2 linked regions of the Arabidopsis thaliana genome follow. The protein of the gene in region 2 interacts with the protein of the main gene of each other region in a pairwise test. Each region holds a gene or a part of one and is shown on either strand. Other genes may lie near its edges.

Evidence for each region. Proteins that work in one complex are often made in the same cells at the same time.
Region 1: the proteins of HB23 (region 2) and AT1G49590 interact in a two-hybrid assay, tested with the Arabidopsis thaliana proteins (one large-scale study listed by BioGRID).

What each region holds. Positions count from the first base shown.
Region 1 is NC_003070.9:18,352,220-18,357,873, reverse strand, and holds AT1G49590 (C2H2 and C2HC zinc fingers superfamily protein), read right to left. Parts: upstream 3,092-5,654; 5' UTR 2,878-3,091; coding exon 2,869-2,877; intron 2,761-2,868; coding exon 2,560-2,760; intron 2,470-2,559; coding exon 2,385-2,469; coding exon of another isoform or gene 2,365-2,384; exon of another isoform or gene 2,128-2,364; coding exon of another isoform or gene 2,078-2,127; intron 1,995-2,077; coding exon 1,899-1,994; intron 1,803-1,898; coding exon 1,465-1,802; 3' UTR 1,141-1,464; downstream 1-1,140. Other genes in the region: RBP47A (RNA-binding protein 47A), read left to right, coding at 1-47; AT1G49580 (Calcium-dependent protein kinase (CDPK) family protein), read right to left, coding at 3,490-3,633, 3,717-3,884, 3,968-4,030, 4,135-4,242, 4,324-4,439, 4,538-4,834, 4,933-5,011, 5,095-5,203 and 2 more. UniProt on the Arabidopsis thaliana protein: Nucleic acid-binding protein that promotes Pol IV-dependent small interfering RNA (siRNA) accumulation, DNA methylation and transcriptional silencing.
Region 2 is NC_003076.8:15,909,036-15,914,307, reverse strand, and holds HB23 (homeobox protein 23), read right to left. Parts: upstream 2,959-5,272; 5' UTR 2,766-2,958; coding exon 1,761-2,765; 3' UTR 1,448-1,760; downstream 1-1,447. UniProt on the Arabidopsis thaliana protein: Putative transcription factor. Probably involved in establishing polarity during leaf development through the gibberellic acid (GA) signaling pathway.

The DNA.
Region 1 (5,654 bases), on a different chromosome or scaffold from region 2:
TTTTGGGTCTTTATATTTCTGTCTTCATGGGGTGGATAAAGTTATAGAAATCCTTAAAGCCAAAGTCAGTGGTTGACAATGGATAGTAGTAGGTGTATTGCGGGCCATAAAGACCTAGTGGAATTTACCACCTTCCCACGGTTTTCGTTGACTATATCTATTGGCAAATCTAATGCATATCACCTTGGCCCACTTATCATCTCCCTGAATTATCCAATCTCTGAAATAATAGTAATGGTTCTGTGTTTCTTAGGATTGAGAAAATTTACAGCTATTAAGATTCATGAGCTAGTTGAAGCATGTACTGATGTTATCGTTTATCTTTAGAGGTTGTCGAAGTTTCAATGTTTCATGTTTGTCTTAATTCTCTATTAGTAGTTGTAATCAGTGGACAAGCTAAAGTAATCTCTACAAGAATAACCAACTTGGTAGTTTTTATCCGTGATGTTCTATTGAATGTTTTAATCCATTTACTAATCTTGTTCAACTTTTAAATCTAAAAATGACAGTGGAGAAGTGACTCTGGCAACCAATGGAATGGAGGATATTCAAGAGGTCAAGGATACAACAATGGATATGCCAATCAGGACTCAAACATGTACGCTACTGCAGCGGCTGCAGTCCCGGGAGCTTCTTGAAAGTGTTGGTATGTCTCTATCATCAGAAACCCTGTGAGTCCTGGACTTACGGGTATTGGGATAAAAACAAACCGTTGGGTGATCAAAGTGATCCATCCGATGATAGTTGTTGGTTCAGAGGTTAGCTCGCACCATCGAAACTAAAACCTCTAGTGTCCAAAGAGGGTTTTGTATCCTGGATTTGAATCTTGCTTATCTTGCTGTCTCAGTCTCTGTCAAAATTTTGGGGTCGTCTGATACTTGAATTTTTTATTTTCAGTTTTTTTTTTGAGTTAATTTGTCTTTGTTACTGAGACTTCCTCAAAGTCAGAGCTTGGTCCACAATAAGTAATTTCCTAAATCGTTTGGATCATTTATTAGTGTGCACTTTGCAGTGCTTTGATAGTTTTACTTCTTTAGAGTAGTGTTTGGTTTCGATTTATTCCCATCTTAACAAGTTTATGCATAATTTCAGAAACTGATTCATGAAAGTCAACCAATAAACTTTAGAAGAATAGACCAAAAAGAACTTAATTTTCTAAACTTTTTTTAAGACGAACACAAAAAAAAAGTTGTGCAAAGACCTCGTAACTTCATCAAAATGGGTAAAATGTGGACTTCCATCATTCTGACTATAAAATTGAATAGGTGTGTACAACAAAGAGGAAACTGATATGACTGGAACAACAGTTAGAAGAACACAAGACCAATGCTCCCAGAAATACCAGAGAGTTTTGGAATAAACTGTCATGTAGGAATAACTGAAATAACCGCCACAATGAGATCAATCATCACTCTTCTCTGCTTAGCCTCTCCCTTTTGCATATAGGATCAAGCCAATGATGCATCAAAAGGGTCTATTGTAAAGACCAAGCAATGGTTTTTCTCTATCTTCAACTCGTTTCCTAGCAGCTTCTCTTGCCTTCAATGCAGCTTTCTCTTCTGCAGATACTTTCTTCGGTTTCTCATCTTGCCTCTTTCTCTTGTTGTTGCCAAGATCAACAGATGAAGCCGCTCCTTTCACAGCTCTTTTAGGATTTAAAGAAGCTGTGACAAGACGGCCAGGTGGTTTCCCCACACTTGGTCCAGCTCCTGAAGAAGATACAGGCTTTTTCACGAGAGGTACTTTGGTTCCTGATGATGTTTTAACCGCAGCGTAGGCCTCGTCTTGTGTCACCCAATGTCCTGTTTCATTACCCGTGTAAGCATACACACGACGAAATTGTATACAATCATGTTTGCAAGGAAACAAATAAAAAAAACTCGATATATATTACATACCTATTGAGTCACTGTAATAGAATCCAGACTGTGAATCATAGTGCAGACCATTGGTCTGGTTGTAATAATAGCCTGAAGCACTGTCGAGCATCCAATCTGCCATAACAATATGGTTACTACATGGTATATGTATAAATGAAAAAGGCTAAGAAAAATGGCAATCAAAATGATGAAAGAACCTGAGAGTGACTCAAAAGAAGCAACCGTTTCGCTCTTTCGTGATGATTCTCTATAGGGTTATAGGCATTAAAACTTATAAGTCATTTGCAAAGATGTGTAATATGACAATCGAAGAATCAGACGCTGCTTGGTTTGTTCATACTTTTGGTCAATGAAAGCAATTCACAAATCCAATTCACACATACTCTACGACCTCAGTAATGTTAAGTCTATAACAAACAGATCCAAAGCTAAGCAACAACCCTGAATATAGCAGCTATAAGTCGAAGAACAAATACTAATGACATCATAGAGAGAGATACTTACCGGATGTACCATCCTCTGGTGCACCGTTTGCTTTAGCTACTTGCTGAGCAGTTGCAATATCTTTCTGATAGCTACGAGTTGCTTTCTGAAACAAGTTGAGATATAAACAATGGAATCAGAAATAAATACGTTAGAATAAGTATCACTGGCAAAAGAAACAAGAATGATTACTCACAGCTTCGATCTGTTGAAGCAGTTTTTCGTTTTTCTTGAGCTCTTTGTCTTTGGCTGCACTCCTCTCACGCATATCAGTGAGCTTCTTATCAACACATTCTCGGTGACGCTTACCAAGGTCATGGTTTCTAATACTTGTTGGATTGTTCTGTATCCATATCTTACAGAATTCACACCATTTGTTCCCTTGACTTACCCAATACTGAAATAACACAAAAAACAAACTCAAGATCAATTTCAATTACGAAACAAGACAGAGGTTTCGTAATTCAAAGAGATTTGGAGAGAAAAGATGCGAATTTTGATTTACCTCAGTCATGGCTGTGGATCAAGGAGATGAAGATTGAATCGAAAATTAAACCCAGAAAACGAAGTTACCGGAACTATAAGATCAACTTTTAATCAGAATCAAGAACTAAGTGAAGAAAAATCTCGAGAGAAAGAGAGAGAGATTAGAAACCCTAATTCCTTAAACTCGAATCCCAAACTCGAGAGGAGAAGCAAAATATAAAATTGGGGGAGAAGAAAATCGGTTTGGTTTGTTTTCTAAATTCTAATTTATTTCCATCACTAGAACCGGTTTTCACTGGTTACACCGACTCAGATCTCACAAATTAAAGCACAGTAACAAACCGGAAATAACCAAGATTTCGCTGATTCCATAATCATTGGGAAGAAAGAGAGACAAAAATCAAATCTTTTTGGAATTTTCTTTTTCATTTTCTTGACTTCACATAGAGTATCAAAGTATCTGTGGTTACTATATTATTACAACAATCTTTTTTTTAGAATTGCTCTTGTAAGAAACTTTTCATTTGTTGTACAGTCTTTGACCAACTATTACATTTCCAATACCAATCCAAGATTTAGAGTAAAGGTTTTGACATCTTCTTTTACGATTTCGCTTAGGTCATGTTTGTTTTCGTTATCTTCACCGGGTAGTTTTCCCCGAGGCTCGAACAGAGACTCCATGTAACAGTTTAACAAACCCGAAGAAGCTAAGCTTTCCATCAGTGTGTCTGATCCAATCATGTAGAACTGAATGTACCGGTATAGATGGTCCAACACCAAGTTCCTGCAATTCAAAAGCATGTCGTTTTAGAGGATCTGTTTTTCGATATTTTTGTATTTAAGCTGAAGACAGATGCTTTAACTTACAGAGGCAAGTTCTTCGATGACAATAGCTCGGTTTCCATTCTTGTCGAAAAGCTCATAAGCATGTCGAATGCTCTGTTCCCAACAATCAAGCGACTCGTGCTGATGAACGTTTATAGCAGCTGCACAAAACTCTTCAAAATCCATTCCTCTGTATTGAAGTCCATTTAGCTGTAAAAAGCCAGTCAATGAAGGATCATTAACACCAAATTGTTAAAGCATTTATCAAAATCCGAGAGAACACAGTCATTTACCAAAGCAAGAAACTCTGGGATCCGAGATTCTTTCATTGCTTCTGTTGCATTGCTTGCAAGTGCCTGTTTAAACAGAAACAAAAAATGCAATACAGATTAGATTACTACGGTGTTTCTCTTTTTTTCTCAAGAGGAAGGAATATAAAAGAAGTTATAGTGTCACAAACCATTCTAATGGTATCCATTGTGATTAGGCCATCTTTGTTTGGTGCGAGAAGAGAAAATTGAGTTTTCAGGTAAAGAATTTCATCCTTGATTAACGTCTTCGATAGCGCCTGTGAAAAGAAAGCACATAATAGTGAGAAAGTAATCTTCAATGCTCTTTTCGACACTTTAAAAGAATGCCTAAAACATACCCTCAAAGCAGCTTTGCGTAATGAAGAAGATCGCAAGTACGCCTTCATCTGCCTAAAGATCAAGATATCGAAAGGGATATTCATGTCCGTATTATAAGCTCGGATCCAAGGATGCACTGAAAAAAGTAAATAGGAACTGAATTTGGTGATTTATGACTACCAAAAGACAGGAGACATAAAACTATAAAGAGCTGTGAAATTAAAAATGACTGACTCAAGGCTTGGGAGGCTGACATTCTTCGCCGGGGATCCTTAAACAATAACCGCTTAACAAAGTCTTTAGCGTCAGAAGACAAGAAGGGCCAAGGAGGTTCATCGAAACTCGGGTCAGCTTTAAGAACAGCTCTAAAAATTCCGGATTCAGTTCTTGCCCAAAACGGACGGCTACCACATAGTAGAATGTATGCTATGACTCCGATGCTCCACACATCCGCTTCTGTTGTATATGATCTGTGTAGAACTTCGGGAGCTACATAGTATGCACTTCCCACTATATCGTTTAGTCTCTCATCTTTCAAAAAAAGGGGCACAAAATACCATTTTTAGTTTACTAACCAGAAGAAAAAGAACTGGAGAAATAGTGACATAGTAAAATGTGTGATGATGAACCTGGTCTGACAAAGTCTGATAAGCCAAAGTCTATCGCTTTAAGCTGAGAATTCTCCTCCTTGGAAGTGTACAAGAAGTTCTGATGATGAAGCAGCGATCAGAAAACATTCTACACATAAAAGTAAAACATAATCTTCTTTCCAGTTCAAAATTGTGCCTCACCTCTGGTTTAAGGTCTCGATGAACAACTCCTTGGAAATGACAGAAAGCTACCACATTCAGAATTTGTATAATCACTGGTTTTGCGTCATTCTCTGAGTATTTCCCTCCCCTGTAGAAAAAAACGATGAATCTTTTTATAAAATAAGAACAATCTCTGGCCATAAGTATCGATAACTCTTTAGTAGCACACAGACACACACCTTGCTAGTATTCTGTCAAGAAGCTCACCACCTTCACATAGCCTGCAAATTCAAACTACTTAAATCCAATTATGAAACAATAGGTTCTTTTTACCAAATTCATAACTAAAACCTAACTAAATTCAACATCAAACAAGGAAATGGTTAAGGTTATGATAAAATAATGATCTTACTCCATTGCAATGTAGACGTTTGCATTGTCCTCAAATGCATCATAGAATTGTACCAGATTCTTATGTCCAGATAAAGCCTGTAGAATTTTCACTTCCCTTCTCACATCTTCTATAGCAATTGCAGTTGTCATCTGCCAAAAAAGAATCAAAACACATTCAATTCTATCAGCTAACACTACAATGGAGA
Region 2 (5,272 bases):
ATAAATAATACTATTAATTAACAAGTGGTGCACATGGTATATGGCAGTTAGGGCCATAACCTCAGCTTGTGCAAAAGTTTTGTCCCCACCAAGATAATACGGAAAGATATTTGTGACTTGACTAAATGCGTTATATAAATTAAATAAAGAAATAGTAGTAATGAATTGCTTAAATAATTGTAACAAACCCGTATGGGAGATACCCATAATATCCTAATCTCATTCTTTATTGTGAGAGCCGACATATCAGTACTCATCCCTACGTTTCCCCAAATGGAAAGTTATTGTTAAATTATTCATCAACTCAATCATTTGTGTTAGTGCCACGCCTTAAACCCTTATTTAGAAGTTGTATAGATTTTATGGATGCTACGATGTGATATAATAATAGTTATATCAAACTTTAGTATGAATTGTACTAATTCAATCTCTAAGTATAAAAAGGTATATGCTGGTTTGTACTTCTCAAATGAGAATAATCAAAACTAAGCATATATACCAAAAATGGGTTATCGGAATGAATCCATGACAATGACATAGATTAAAGAGGAAATGGTGTTAACAATATTTTTAAAACCAACCCAGTGAATCGGACTACCTTTTGGATCATTGGATCATCGGGTTAATTAGATTAGACTACGGGTCAATTGATTAAAATTTATTTAATAAATTTAATATTAATAGAGATTTTAGAGTTTTTAGAGTTCTTATAAATTTTAAAACAAAAATAATCATTTACATCAAAAAAAAATATAAATATATAATCAAACAATAATAATAAAGTGATGAAATTTTTTAAATCCAACTAAATGTCTAATACCGTAACAAATATAGTAAAAAATCAGCAATGATGGAAATAAACTAATAAAACATCGTGAATTCACACAACTAATATCGGATATCTCACTCACCATTCGATTCATTTTTTAAGGCGGCATTGTGAAGTCTTCATCAAAATCTTAAACATCAAATGGGTTTAAGAACTGAAAAATATCTAAAAATTGATTGAATAAAGTCTAAAATCTCATATTTTATTCCAAAATCAAGAGAATTTTTTAAAACCCACATCCGGCCAGTTCAACTGGTTCATCGGGTCACGGGTTAATGATGAGTTTTTGTGGGTTTTTTCGGTTTTGAACTTGTTGGATTTTAATACTAAACCCAAACCGGAAAAGTGTTCGGGTCACGGTTCAACCGGTCGGACCGGACGGTCCGGGTCGGACGTGAAAACACTGGGTGTTAACAACAATGCTACTAATATACTAATGATGGCTAATCATTTGATATAGAATAAAAAAATAAAATAAAATTAAGAGGATCTAAGAAAGAAAAAAAGTACACCTACTACATCTAGTTTGGTTGCAAATAAAATTAAGAAGAGTACTTTAAAAGATAAGAAACCAAATGAATATTTATAGTAACTAATCATGTTTCACTCGTTTATTAATCTTTTTGTTTCTTCATCCGAAACAAGATTACCACATCAAAAGTGTACCATTTATTGGAGTACTTAGTCACATTTCAGGGTTCATTAATAGAAATGTTTACAACAAATGATATAATTCGAACATTGTTATGGTATTATTCCTCATCGAGCGAGACACCGACGTGGTAAAGAACATTAAATCAAAACTAATAATAATGCAAAAACAAACAAAGCTAAAGATCTTAATTAATATTTAATAGAAAGTTATTAACGATGATAATACGAATAAGCTTACTCTAAGCTTCTTATTAACCTGACACTCTCATCTTTAACTTCACGACGACGATGATCCGTTAACGTTACCACCGTTAGCTCCGCCGCTATCACTATCAAATCCTCCGCCACCACCGCCGCTACTAACACTCTGGTGAAGCTCTCCTCCTCCTCCGACACCGTGGTGTCCATTGTTATGGTTATTAATCTCGCCGGCGAGAATCGGAGTGTGGTTTCCTCCGCCGTTATCGATTTGCCGGATCTCGTTTCCGGCGATATCACGGCGGTTAAAGGTGTTTTTGTTGTTATGCATCCAAACTTTGAGAACACTTTTATCAACTCCGATCTGCCGGCAAAAATCACGAACATCGTCTTCGTCACGTTTTTGCATCTTCCAACCAACACGTTCGGCGAATTCATGCATCTTCTCTTTCTGAAACTGGCTGAATTTTGTTCGGAATCTTTTACGAGATCCGTGAAGAGTATGTTGGTGGTGGTGGTGGTGGTTGTTTCCGGCGGAGAAGTTAAGATCGGAGAAAGAAGCTAAGTTGTTGTTGTTGTTATTAGTACCGGAGAGAGATAAGAGCATGTAAGAGGAAGAGATTGGTGGAGGAGAAGCTGAGTTAGGACTACGTGGTGGTGGAGGAGGTGGTGGTGGTGGTGGATGATGACGGTGGTGAGGTTGATACTCTACGGCGGTGGAAGGAGGAGGAGGGATTTGGGAAGAGTCGTTGTTGTTATCTGGATCACGGCGGTGGAAATTACGGTGGCAGCCACAAGCAGCACATTTGAGAGAAGTTGGATCGGAGGAGATTGACGACGGAGACGGCATGAATTCGCCGCAACCGTCGAGAGCGTGACCACCTAAAGCCGCCGCGTGGTTTTTGAGACATTCTTTGTAAGTAAAGAGGAGAGGATGGTGGTGGTGGTGGTGGCGTTTGATGATGCCGTTGCTAAAGGAAATGGGTTTCGCCGGTTGGATCCGGGTCGGAGTTTCGGATTCGGGTTCGGGTGATTTAGGAGTTGGTGTTGTTGTTGTTGTTATTGTAGGAGTCATATCCATCATAGCTTAAAACATTAATATAACCAATAATTTGAAGAAAAAAAAGACTTAGGGTTTTTGGGTTAAGAGCTTTGAAAATATGGTATGAGTTTCAGAGAATGTGAATAGAAAAATGAAGAAGAAGAAGAAATAAAGATAAGTAAAAAGGTTCTAACTTCTTAAGCTGTTGGAGATTTTTTAATATTACATATTTTCCACTTGATTTTTTATTGGTAATATTCGTTTAGAGGAGGAAAAGAAGAAAATGATATGATGACTATGACGACTGTTGCTGAAGCAAATAAAGAAATAATATTTTGAAAAAGGACAATTGTATTAAACTAAATTTATGATTTTAAATGAAATAATAAAGAGACTTGGATTTAGGGATATTTTAATCAAGGGAACCAAGGTTTGATGATTTTTAACCATGGTTAGGTAGATGGAGTTTGTGGGATCGACAAAGAGAGTGCGTGTTAAATTTTGCGGTGAAAAAGCGTAATAAATGTGGCTACTAGTGTCTTAAACATAAAGGCACAAGTCAAAACTGAAAAAGAAAAAATAAGTCTTATGGTAATAATGGGTTACATTTGTTCTAAGATCAGCAATGTTGTGAAAGATACTCCTTCGACTACAACAAAAACGTTAAGGTCAAACCTTTCAAATGAAGGAATGAGAAAGATCACTTTCTTGTAAAAGTTGGGGGTGAATTTTTAGGTTTCCACTATGGTTAAGTTTATATGGGTGATATTCGACGGAAAATGTCAATTTTGCTAGATTTTGATGAACAAGTTGAGAGCAATGATCGAAATTCCGTCCTTCATATACTAGAGATTATTAGAGGATCCAAAACTAGAGATTATTAGAGGATCCAAAACTATTATGAGAAATCCATTAGCCAATGTAACTAGGGTGATAGCTACTAGAGATTCATATAAATTTGTTTTTAAATATCAATGTATTGTAAGGTAATCTTAAGAGTTGTCTCAAAACAAATTTTTTTCTTTTTCTTTATAAAAGGAATTTTGTGCAAAAATAACTTTCAAAGACGTCAATTTTTACAAATTTATCATCTATCTCTAAAAAAATGCAAAATAATTGTATGAAATCAAAAATAATATGCAATATAGCTTCATTTTTTTGTTATAGTTAAATTTTTAAAATTTTGATAAATAATATATCAAATTAAAATCTTCGAGACGAGGAGTCCAACTCTACTTTCACAATTTTAAAAAGCAAATGTATGTGATCATAGAAACATTTACAATATATGTATAGGGCTATATTGCGTCTTATTTTGTATTTTATAGGATTATTATGTATTTTGTAGAGATTAATGGTAAAGTTGAAAAAATTAGCGACTTAATTATGATTTTTTTTTGCACAAACCCCTTATAAAAATATCAATTTTGAATCATTGTATTCTTGTTGACAAGTTAAAGTCTTTTTTCTTTTCTATTAATTGCATCATAATAAAGTTTTTATAAGCGATTTCATTTCAATCTTTCTATTATTTCTACCTAGCTTAATAAGTCCATTTGAGCTTGAATCCTACTAGCTTTGAATTCTCCCACAGAGATGTTCCTTGGCACAACTATCACGGCCCGTTCGTAAAGAATCATCCACGGACAATGTTTTGCTTAAATAATTGCGGCTCCAAAGAATTCTTTTGGGGAGAGTGCTATTCTGTTCTTAATTAATGCAATCCCAAAACATAATGGGTAGAAGGACTTCATGGTCATGTAAAGGAGATTACATGCAAACGATGAAGATATCTTCGACTTTCTTTTTGGTTAGACTTTAGAGGTAGAGAAGCTAATCTTATAGCAGATTTAGTGGTAATGATTGATGACTTAATGGGCTAATGGAATAATACAATTGGCATTAATTTTTATGGGCCGGGTTATTGCACACATGCAACTATAGTGATTTCAGAACAGCCCATCCGAGGACTTGAGTATAAAATAGACAAATTCAAGAAGGAAGTTTGAAGACCCCAAATTACCCCTTTCTAACGTCTCAAAATGATTGGGTTCGAAGCATAAATCATAGTTACACTTGTTTGTAATCATAGGCATATGTAATCACTAATCATCACTTTATTTGATTTAGCAAGTAACTAAGTATAAACTTATTGGTATAAATTATTTTAATGTTAGACAAATGTATTTCCAAATTAGTTTAAAACTATGTTTATTCTATATTTTTAATTCCTTCATTTTTATTTTACAGTGAGAAAGAGAGAGAGGTAAGAAGTAGCTCTATGTGGGCTGCATAAGCATTCTGTGTGTGTTAGTTGTATAAGTAGAACTAAGCACATGTGTTCCGTAGTGAAACACCAGTTATATGTTATAATAAGCTGAATTATCTCCAACTTGTTTATGGTTAGTTGGATAGTATTTAGCAGCACATGCACTTTCTCTTTCCATAGAGGTTTCCAATGTCACTATTGTATCATGATTGATGCAGGAGGTATACACCAAATTGCTTCACTCTATAGTAGCAACATCAAGTAGGTAGCTTATTAGGGT